2 linked regions of the Drosophila melanogaster genome follow. The gene in region 2 interacts genetically with the main gene of each other region. Each region holds a gene or a part of one and is shown on either strand. Other genes may lie near its edges.

Evidence for each region. Genes that interact genetically often act in the same process or in processes that back each other up.
Region 1: of park (region 2) and puc, changing one enhances a phenotype caused by changing the other (phenotypic enhancement), as found in Drosophila melanogaster (one study listed by BioGRID).

The regions. Positions count from the first base shown.
Region 1 is NT_033777.3:8,103,693-8,108,774, reverse strand, and holds the start of puc (puckered), read right to left. Parts: upstream 3,444-5,082; 5' UTR 2,915-3,443; coding exon 2,680-2,914; intron 2,288-2,679; exon of another isoform or gene 2,036-2,287; intron 544-2,035; coding exon 397-543; intron 1-396.
Region 2 is NT_037436.4:21,193,367-21,198,561, forward strand, and holds park (parkin), read right to left. Parts: upstream 3,488-5,195; 5' UTR 3,410-3,487; intron 3,404-3,409; exon of another isoform or gene 3,347-3,403; 5' UTR 3,337-3,346; coding exon 3,079-3,336; intron 3,020-3,078; coding exon 2,827-3,019; intron 2,771-2,826; exon of another isoform or gene 2,752-2,770; coding exon 2,406-2,751; intron 2,281-2,405; exon of another isoform or gene 2,265-2,280; coding exon 1,820-2,264; exon of another isoform or gene 1,765-1,819; coding exon 1,668-1,764; exon of another isoform or gene 1,591-1,667; coding exon 1,481-1,590; 3' UTR 1,388-1,480; downstream 1-1,387. Other genes in the region: Targ3 (terminal ADP-ribose protein glycohydrolase 3), read left to right, coding at 3,530-3,651, 3,705-3,879, 3,939-4,088; Targ1 (terminal ADP-ribose protein glycohydrolase 1), read right to left, coding at 4,094-4,124, 4,183-4,271, 4,394-4,759; Targ2 (terminal ADP-ribose protein glycohydrolase 2), read right to left, coding at 5,093-5,195. UniProt on the Drosophila melanogaster protein: E3 ubiquitin-protein ligase which accepts ubiquitin from E2 ubiquitin-conjugating enzymes in the form of a thioester and then directly transfers the ubiquitin to targeted substrates, such as Paris, Marf, Opa1, Miro, pnut, Septin1, Tom20 and porin.

The DNA of each region.
Region 1 (5,082 bases), on a different chromosome or scaffold from region 2:
ATGCAACAGTAGAACAATCGAGCGATTTCCCGATCGGCTGGCGATATGGTGCCCCTTGAGTTCCGTTCTTGATCGCAATGCTTTGTAACTTCCTAACTAGCACAGTTATTGTGATCAGCTTTAGATTGCAATCTATGCAATCTACTATGAGTGATTAGTGTTTGATTATTTGATTATTTTATCATATCTCTAACAGTTTTCAAGATGCAATGCTCTACGTTTGCATGTGGAAATATTAGGTTTTTAACTTCTTGCATACCAAAATACATGACGATTCACGACTTTTCACATAATTGCCAAAAATTTCTAACCGACTCACAGAGAGTATTGTTTGAAACCCGTCTTCGGGTCGCATACCTTTGCGCTGGGTTCCCCATTTAGCCGACTTTCACTTACCGTAGACCGCCGGACTGGAGCAGCTGCGGGTTAGCGCCGGCGTCCGTCCGCCGCCGTTCATTGCCGTTGATGATGACGTCGTCGATGTCACTTCGTCACATGCCAGATTCTCCCTGGACCGCTTGTTGGGATAGTCCTTCTGATTGGCTGCCGAGGGAAGGAGACGAAGACCAGAAAATACGCATTAATGCGGTGATTTAAAAACTGATTTTAATTGGCGGTTAGCGATTTGCTTAATTTTATAACCCATGATGTCAGCACGGACCGTGTATGGACCGCAGTGCGAAAAACTTGTCGCGCCAGGTTCCCCGTTCAAAAAAACCGCAAAAATATTTCGTTTCGATTGCCGCCTGCCAAAACTGACGTAAGACATTTATTTCGGCTCTAGAGTTTTTTTTTCTTCTTTTTCGCCTGATTACGAGCGAATGCAAAGCCAAAGTTTTCCACATTCGCTCGCAGCTCACAAGTCGCTTATCACAGTGAGCAGGCATAATTAGAGAACGCTTTGTAAGCTAGCCCGATACCAATTTGATAGTATATTATAGTAAAACACAATCCAGATTATTCATTTATAGGTAAGTCTGAACAAAAGCTGTCAATAACAAATAGTTGAAAACTTTTTTAGTACGGCAATCTTGGGTTTTTAATGCTGGTATATTTATGTTCTTAGCATCATTCTGATTTCTTCGAATATTATTAAAATTAATCTTGTAGTAAATATTTGTTTTTAAAAACTTCAAGTACGATTTTCCCCCTACACTAAACTTTAATTTTAAGCCATGTTCCTTGATTGAAGGGTATCATTTCAGCCGTCCGTCAAAAGAAAAAACTTGATAAGATAACCAATGCTACAGTTTGTATTATGTTTTCAAAGTGGTCTTAGGAGTTCGGACTGTGCTGACTTGATCAAATCGACTTTATCAGCCTTGCCAGAAAGTATAGTCTCTTTTATGCTGAAAAGCAAAACAACTTCGAGCAAACTACTGGGGTACAAAATTGCTGTTATCAGCCAAGCGACCTCAAAAGCCAAAAAACAACACAGAAAAAAGCAACAGCCTCAAAAAAAGTACAACCAACTTTTCACCGCGGCAGGAAACGTTGGTTATGTTTTTTTTTTGTCGCTGTTGTTGTTGTTTGCGGCTAGTAAAACAAGTAAAATCGCATGCCAATAGTGCATTGCAAACCTCCAGGGGCGTCTGGGTCTGGAGTGTGTGGGTTTCGAAGGGGGCCTATGGTGTGGGAAACGGGGGGAGTGGTGTGAAGTAGAGTAGAAAATAGGAAAGTGCTAATTAGTATACAGTGGCTTGTTTACTTTTGGAAATGAGCTATGCATCAGCTTTCTGTTCACTATTTTGTCCAACTTTTGGGTTGCGATTCGCCATTATGTTTACTGTTATTAGTAATTCGCTGTTTATTGTCTAAAAAAAACTTGGCAACAAGGTAGTAAATCTTTCACTTTAAGATGATATTAATTTTAAGTGATTTATAAAGCGATTGTAATGCTTCAACTTATATTATATTTAATAAATTTCAACTATTCTGTAAATGTTTTGGAACTTTGACTCAACGAGGGCACCCCTTTTTAGTTTCGCCCCTGGCCCTTGCAACTAACCCTTCCTGCTCTTCCGCTCTTTCTTACCGACTCCCAACTTCAGTTTTGAGTTGTTGCCGCGGCTGTTGCTTTTTCTCCTTCTGCTCCCCTTTTGGCCTCCTCCTTCGCACGCTTCTCCCTTCTTCTGTTGTTGTTGTGCCGATGAATTCGTACTCGAAAGGTCGTTTCAAAGCGGGTTTTTCAGCGTTGCCAGGCCGCTTGAGAAACCTGCTTTGCTTTACATTTTTTCTGTTGTTTTATTTTTTTTATTTGTACTCGTATTTTGTTGGACTGACTGATTTTTTTTTTCATTTATCCAGCCAACAGAAACGAATCGAAACGCTTCTTTTGCTTTTATTTTTGAAAGACACGCGAATTGTGAGTCACGTATGGAGCGAAAAAAAGTAACTGACTCTGAGTCTGATCTCTCTCGAGTTCGTTTCTTTTTGCTTGTTTTTGCTTTTGTAGAAATGAAATGGAGACGCTTACGTGTGCTCCCCCTCTCTTTCGCGCCCCAGCAAAAGTAAACAGCATGCCGAGCGGTAAAAATCAAGAGAGCAAGAGAGAGGGATTAATACGTTCTCCCTGTCCCGCTCTTTTGATTGGTTTGAGTGTAATCTTAAATTGTACGATTTTTCTTATTGCTTATTTCTGTTGATTTGATTCTTTTTTTCGCTTCTTTTTGTACTTACCACCAATGCGATTGTTGTTGTTGGTATTTTGGATTGGCATAAATAACAGAAGACACGGCGCTTCTCGCTTTATCCGCATTTTCATTTCACTTTGTATATGACTCACGCTGTCGCCGTCTCCGTCGCACTCACAGCGTCCGTTGTGGCTGTTGTTGTTGCGTGCTGTTGACGTTGCCGTTGTAGTGTTGTTGCTATTATTGTTGCTGCTGCTCTGCGTTTCTCGATTCACACACATATGCACGCGCTCACACTACACACATACACATGGGGGCCTTTGGTTGTTTTAAAATTGATATATGTATATTTTATTTGTTGCTTTCTGCCCGTATAATAATCTATATTATTTAAGTATGATTTTCGGTAGGAGGGCTTTATTAGATAATCCCCGAGCCACTTGTTGAGCCACTTCCCGTTATAAAGTGTGTTGCAACCAAAAGTCGGGGGCCCAGAAATCGAGTTTTATTTCCACTTGTAGCACGCACACTTATTTTTAATTCATTAATCGAAAAACGCGCGGGTTGTAGATCTCGTTTTTATATTTTATTTTAGTATTAATTGTTTGCTTCCTCTTCTCACGATTCGTGTTAAAATTATTGTATCCAATGATAAATGTTTTTACCAGAAATATTCTAGTTTTAATTTCCTACTGTTTTCGCGCGGAGCTTAGTTATTTTTCGAACTCGTTGTGCAAAGATGTAGACACAACCGTTCGAAGCGGTATTCAAAAGGCGAATGAATGACCGAATGAATGAGCGCAAGACGAATGAACGGGCGCAAAACAAATTTGATAACCGAATTTGATAAAGACGCGATTAGTGTGACCAGAGGCTACTACAGTTAAAAAAGGCTAACAAGCTGAAACTTTACTCTACGCTCACCAAATTCACCAACACTGAAGACTTTGCGGTTGAATTTGAAATTAAAGTATATATAATAGCCACAATTGTTGACAAATGAAGTTAAAATAAGCTATTACATACTTTGACCTATGATCATAATACAATTTTTATTTATTTATTTTTTATTTATTACACGTTAAAGGTTAATTATTTTCGAAACATGCTGACATTTGACTTTGTATAATTGCTTTTGACATGCTGTATATATACTAATTTTCTTTTATCTCGGGCTCAAACCTTTTGTTAGTTTATATTGATGAATTCCATTTATTCATTATAATTTTTATGAATATAGCAATGCTCGTTATAAACCTCTTTAAATTCTTCGTTGTCAAAACATTTTATTTGTCACTACAGAGATGCGCTCATGTCTACCCAAGTGCCTCAGCAAACCAATCCCAACCAAACCCGTCAAACCCCACCTGAATCTCCGCAACCCAGTAACATGGAACAAATGTTTGCTCGCTTCGAAGGAATGGTCGAAAGGATGATGGAGAAGATGTTCTCGCAAATGACGCAGCTTGTTGCTTCCATCCTCAACGCAAAAGTATGCAAAGCCTAAAAATAGTTATTTGGAATGCTAACGGCCTGCAGAGGAGCAGAGCCGAGGTGGAACACCTCCTAAAAACAGATGCCATCGATGTACTACTGGTATCAGAAACCCACTTTTGTCCCAGATCCCATTTTAGCATTAGCGGCTACGATGTCATCCCTGCCAACCATCCATCTGGCAGAGCGCGCGGAGGAGCAGCCATGCTCATCAGGAGTGGCATCCAGTACACGGAGCTACCTGCGTTTCAGGAGGAATGGGCCCAGTGTGCCCTGGCCAGAATCTCCAGCCTACATGGAGACATCACCGTTGGAGCGGTCTACTTCCCACCTAGACACTCGATCACCGAGACTCACCTACAAGATTTTTTTGAGTCCTTTGGACCTCGCTTTATAGCAGCTGGTGACTTCAACGCCAAACACTCCTGGTGGGGGTCCCGCTCCATCAACCCCAAAGGCAGAACGCTCCACAGATTCCTGCAGAGCAGAAGACTGGATTGCCACTCCTCTGGTGAGCCTACCCACTGGCCTTCAAACCCTTCCTTGCTGCCCGACCTCCTGGATTTTGCTATCTCCAAAGGCATAGGGCAAGACAGACTAACTTGCTCCAACTATAACAAGCTGATATCCGACCACAGCGCTATAAAAATGCTTCTCAACATCCCCGTCCTCAAAAAAGAGTTGCCCAGAAGACTCACCGGGAAGCACACTGATGCCTCCAAGTTCACACTCTGGATGCTGTCCTCCCTGCACCCGGATCCTCCACTCTCCACTCCAAGCAACATCGATGCGGCAATCAAAACTCTCACGGATGAGATGTACAATGCTGCTGAGTTTGCCAATCCTCCTCCTTCAACGTCCCCAAGAACTCCCGGTAGAGACCTTCACCTCTGGTCTCCAGAAATTGCGGCCTTCGTAGCGGAAAAAAGGCGCCTCAGGAGAATCTGGTTCTTCT
Region 2 (5,195 bases):
ACGCGATACGTGGGCGCGCTGCCATTTATACACCGAAGGCCCCCAAGTTGAAGAAGAAAAGCTGGCAAAAGACACAAGCACCACAGCAAGGAGCAGACGGAAAACGGCAAAAAAAAAAATAGCTACGAATAAACAACACACAGAAGCTGCTGCACTGGGAACTTTGTGACCCGATTCGATGGGCAACCTGCCCACATGCGCGAGCGAGCTTTTCCTTTTCGCCATTTTCGAGGGCGGAAAATGCGCTGCACTTTGCTCTTCTCCTCTCAATCTCTCTTCGCGGCTCTCTGCCAAATGGCAGAGTGAAAACTATTCGCTTTGCTTACGAATTAGAGCACAAAACAGAAAGCCAACCAAAACAGAGCGGCAAACCGAAAGGAATCTAGAACGTGGCGTTACTTCCAAATGGGCGAGAGATTGCCAATTCCCAGAGAGACAGGGAGCCAGAAAGAGAGAGAGAGGTGCGGAATAAATTTTCCGCCAGAGTCCTGCTTGGGGGTTTCCCACGTTCGCTGTGTGAATGAGGTATATGTTGTGTATAGGCTCGATTTATCGATGTCCGGGCCACGAATTTCCACCAGCGTGCGAAAAACCATAGCACACTTTCTGGCACACTCGTGGTGCACTCCGCCAAGGGATGTTTCCGCTTAAGAGCGTCCCGCGAACCTGTGGCATTTGGCCAGCCCAACTTTAGATGACCGATAAGCCGCAAGGCAGACTGATAACCAGGCAGGTGAACTTTCAGGCGTCTCGAGTTTCCAAGACGGCTTTTCTAAGCGGACTAATTGCAATTCTTGTAGAAGTTTATAAATTTAAATTAGTTATTCAGGGGAATGCGTGTTTCCTATATATAATTGCCTAAAATCTATTGATTTACAGATGTGTCCTAGGGCGGTTGCACATATGAATTATAAAACTGTATTAAAGTGAAATATTTAATTTTACGTATTAACGGCCAAAATTTAAGTTTCAGTTTCTTAATAATTTTCTCTTTTGTGTTTTCTCTCTTTAGCAAGAATAGTAGTTAGTACTTTTGAAAATCCAGGAACATTTTTGAAATGCCTTTACCATCCCCCAATCAATTATTAGTCCCCTTGCGGCTACGCGCCTGGGTTGAAATCACATGAACCTTGTGCCGCTGACCACCCACTGCGCATTCGCGGCACTCGCTCTCTGGCTGTTTGGCCAAATGCACGTGTTTGTTGCGGTTTTCGCATGCCTGGCCGAAGAGGAAAGCCCTCAAAATATTTGTGGGCGAGCTTAAAAAAAAACGTAAACAAAGTTTTTGTGCGCACGCAACAAAGGAACAGAGTGGGGTAGGATGTGATTCGCGTTGGTCCTTGTCAGGGGTGTTTCTGCTATTGATTGCGTAGACGACAAACAGGGTGTTGTTCGAGCAGTCTTTACTATGGTATACAATTTAAAAGTAGTCAACAAACAAAAAGGACCCGTCGGGCCGACGTACAACGATGACGAAGGATTAGCCGAACCAGTGGGCTCCCATGCAGTCGCGTGTCCACTCAGTCTGGCAGACCCAGCACCACTCGAATCCGCAGCCAGCGCGTGTGCAGACCATGTGCATGCAACCGCCTGGTAGGAAGAGAAGAAGACGGTATGGATGTGTTACAAACTGCGTCTTGGGTGTCTTCGATGCTCGCCCAACTCACCATCTCGCTCCGTGGGGGTTCTGCATTTTGGACAGGGCTTTGTGCTGACTTTGATGGTGACATTGCTGGCCTCATCCCATCGCGCCTCGGCAGCTCGCTAAAAAAGCACATGATTACACAAGCGGGAATGGGCCGTATAAGAGCCAACTCACATTTGGGTCCACGGTGTACTCGCAGGAGTTTGTGGCACTGGCGCCCGTCCCCTCGGGCAGACACTCCCCGATATGGTAGCCCTGCAGACAATTGCGGCAGAACACGTATCCACAGCCGTTCTGGCATGTCACCTTGCGACAATCGGGCTCCACCAAAAGGCCCATGCCGCATCCTGGCTGGGGGCAGAGTACTCCACCTGCCTGTAGGACATACTCCTCGGTGGCGAATCTCTGGTACCGATCGTACTCCTCGCGTGTCAACAGCTTGAAGTGATGAATCTCCTCGATGAACGAGTGCTCGCAGCCTGCGGGACAGGGCAAGGTGTAGCCGAAGTCCGGATGCGGCATAAACTGACGCTCGCCCAAACGGGAACGGCAATAATGGCGGAAGCAGTCGATACAGGTGACGTGCTGCGATGCGCAGGGGAAAACCAACACGGTATCACTGCGAACATAATAAGGTGATTATAGCAGAATAAAATTATATGACAAATAATTACTTTAAAGACTTTAAAAGAACTTTTTATGACATTTTCGATGATATGAAAATTATAAGAAATTAAGATGTTCCTTATTGCATAATCACCTCACATCCGTGCAGGCCAGGCAAGGAACATTCTTGATGTTATTCTTGATTAGATTCAATGGAGCCGCAAAATCCTTCTCCCCGCCGGAGACATGCTCAGCACACTTGAAGAAGAATTCAGCGAAGGGCGGATCGCCAGCCGCGTTGTCCACGCAGGCCACCTCCAGACTTTCACAATGACCGGGAATTCTACGCGACTTCAAGACATCATCCCAACACTCCGGATCACGATGGACAGTAAAGGCGCCGCCCTTGCATAAAGCGCAGCGGACCCGAAGTTTGCCATTACACAGCTTATCGCATTGGCTGCAATGTACAAAGAAATGCGCTTTGGCACGGACTCTTTCTGGAGAGGATACGACGGGATTACAAGGGGTTTCGTTAAAAAAAAAAAAAACAATAAAAACTAATTGTTGCCTACCTTCATCGGTTATATTCAGACGCTCCTCGCTTTCCAGCTGCAAGTCCAACAGAGTTTCATTTAGAGGCTTGGAGGCTTCATCGCTAAGCGAAGGTTCCTCCTCCTCCAAAGTGGCCGACTGGATTTTCTGGCGCTGCACGGGCGGTCGCAAACGAATGGCATGCAAAACGCTTTGCTGACCCAAGTCACATTGCTACTAGAAGACAGTAAAAGTTAACTTCATGTAGCGGATACATTAAAGAAACTTCTTACCTCTATTGTCGTGGCATCGCTTAGTTCCTTACCGGCAAATATGATCTTTAGATCATCCGGCTGAAGTCCCAATTGTGGTGCCACCAGTTCCTTTACGTTTTTAATATCCCACTGGGGCTCCAGATTAACGGTCAGCGTTTTGCCCGTGTTCGTTTTTACATAAATACTCAGCGTGTGCGTAAGGGTTTTCCCTCCAAATTGCAACAGCTCCAGCATTTTGCGTACAAAAGTGGCAATAAATTTAAAAATAAAACTCATTTGTTATCAGCTGATCGGGTTTAATTTTAGTGCAGTGTATATGCTTCAGTGTTGCCAATCGTTGTTTACTTACGCGTTGCCAAACACCAGCTGGCAGCCATTCGGAGGAAAACGTGGACACGCAGAAAGCGCACAATTGAAAACAATTTTTGTGAAGAAGTCGGAGGAGTATAAATGTAAAAGTTTTATGGAAATGTCAGGACTAACTTACAGAGAGATCAATGGCGACCTATTCAAATGCCAAAGGGATTATTCCATGTGCCACTGCGTGGCTGCCGATTTGCGAATGGGCAGAGGCATAGCTGTAAAGTTTCGGTAGGTAATGGCTTAGTGTTTTTAATAAAATGGTAAATTTGCCTATTTTCCAGAAACAAATTTGGACAGTTGTTGAATTTGCAGAGACAAAATGTTCAGCCAGGCGGCGTGGCTGTCCTTCAGGACCAGCAGCGATTTATTTACTATCTGATCACCAAGAAATCCAGCTGGGGAAAGCCCACCTACGAACTTCTCCAGAGTTCCTTGATCGCCATGCGAAAACACATGGTATGTTTATGTATCTTCTATAAGAAGTTATGATATACGAATCTTTCTACCATTTGCAGATCTCCCACCAAGTACCCAAGCTAGCCATGCCCCGCATTGGATGCGGTTTGGATGGCCTAAACTGGCCCAAAGTTAAGGAAATAATTTGCCAGGTTTTTCAAGCGGATTCTGTTGAGCTGGTCGTTTATAATTATGTTGCTATGAAGTAAATGGCTCATATTAAACTAAACGATCCATTATTTTCCCTGTGGAGGCACAAAATTGTAGACAACAATCTCCAGCGGCTCTTGGCCAAAAACGTACTCGAGGACTCCGCTGACTTTTTCCCATTCCAAGCCATCAATTCCGCAGCCAATTTTTGGGATGGCCAGCTTATTCACGTTGTTTTTGCGCTAATGTAGGAATAATAAAATGTAGCTCTTATTAATATAACTTGTCTAAGCTTTATATATATAATAAATAAAAGCAGGGATACATTCCATTCATAAAAGATATGTATCAGGCATGTATTTACCATATGCTCACGCATCTGCTCCAAAGATGCTTGTACAGATTCGTAGGTGGGCTTTCCCCAGCTCTGAGGCTTGGTTACTAGGTAGTAAATGTACCGCTGGTCATCCTTCAGCACCGCAATATCTCCACTGCCCGCTTGTTGGGCTTGCAGCTCGTCCAACCTTCCGAATACCTTCTTGAACTGCACGGCAATTCCAGCACCCATCGCAAGATCTGCGCCCACACAGTGCGCCAAGGAATAGGTCTTGGGGGCGGAAAACAGATCCCCATCCACTTCGCTTAGGGTGTACTGAGGTTTGGATGACATTCCGACTACAAAAGCTCGCCGAAATGCGCTACGTAGTTCTAGAAGTTTGGGAGAATACATTTAGTTTAAATAAGGGTTTTAGATCTGTCTGACTTAGTGTAACAGGCAGCTACTAGATTAATTTTTGGTCATACGATAACACTAGATAATGGTTCGTAAGGGTATATATATGTATTTATCAAAACTCCAATCTTTGGTTAATATCCTCTCGAGGACGTGTTTTATTTATTAATACATTAAATACAGTATAAATAACCAAATATGGAAACTTTGTGTGCTATAAAAACCTCTTAGGTGTATCGTTCTTATCAACTATATAAGTATTTGGTGCATATGATGCCACAAGTCCCAAGCAAAACCATTTCGAGTGTCAAACAAAGATGGCTATATACATTAAAAGGGAGTCTTTTCGCGATGAAGCGAATTTCTTGATCCACTAACGGACCTCGATGGCAAATGGATGGTCTTCATGTGCCGGCAGGTGGGACAAACCACG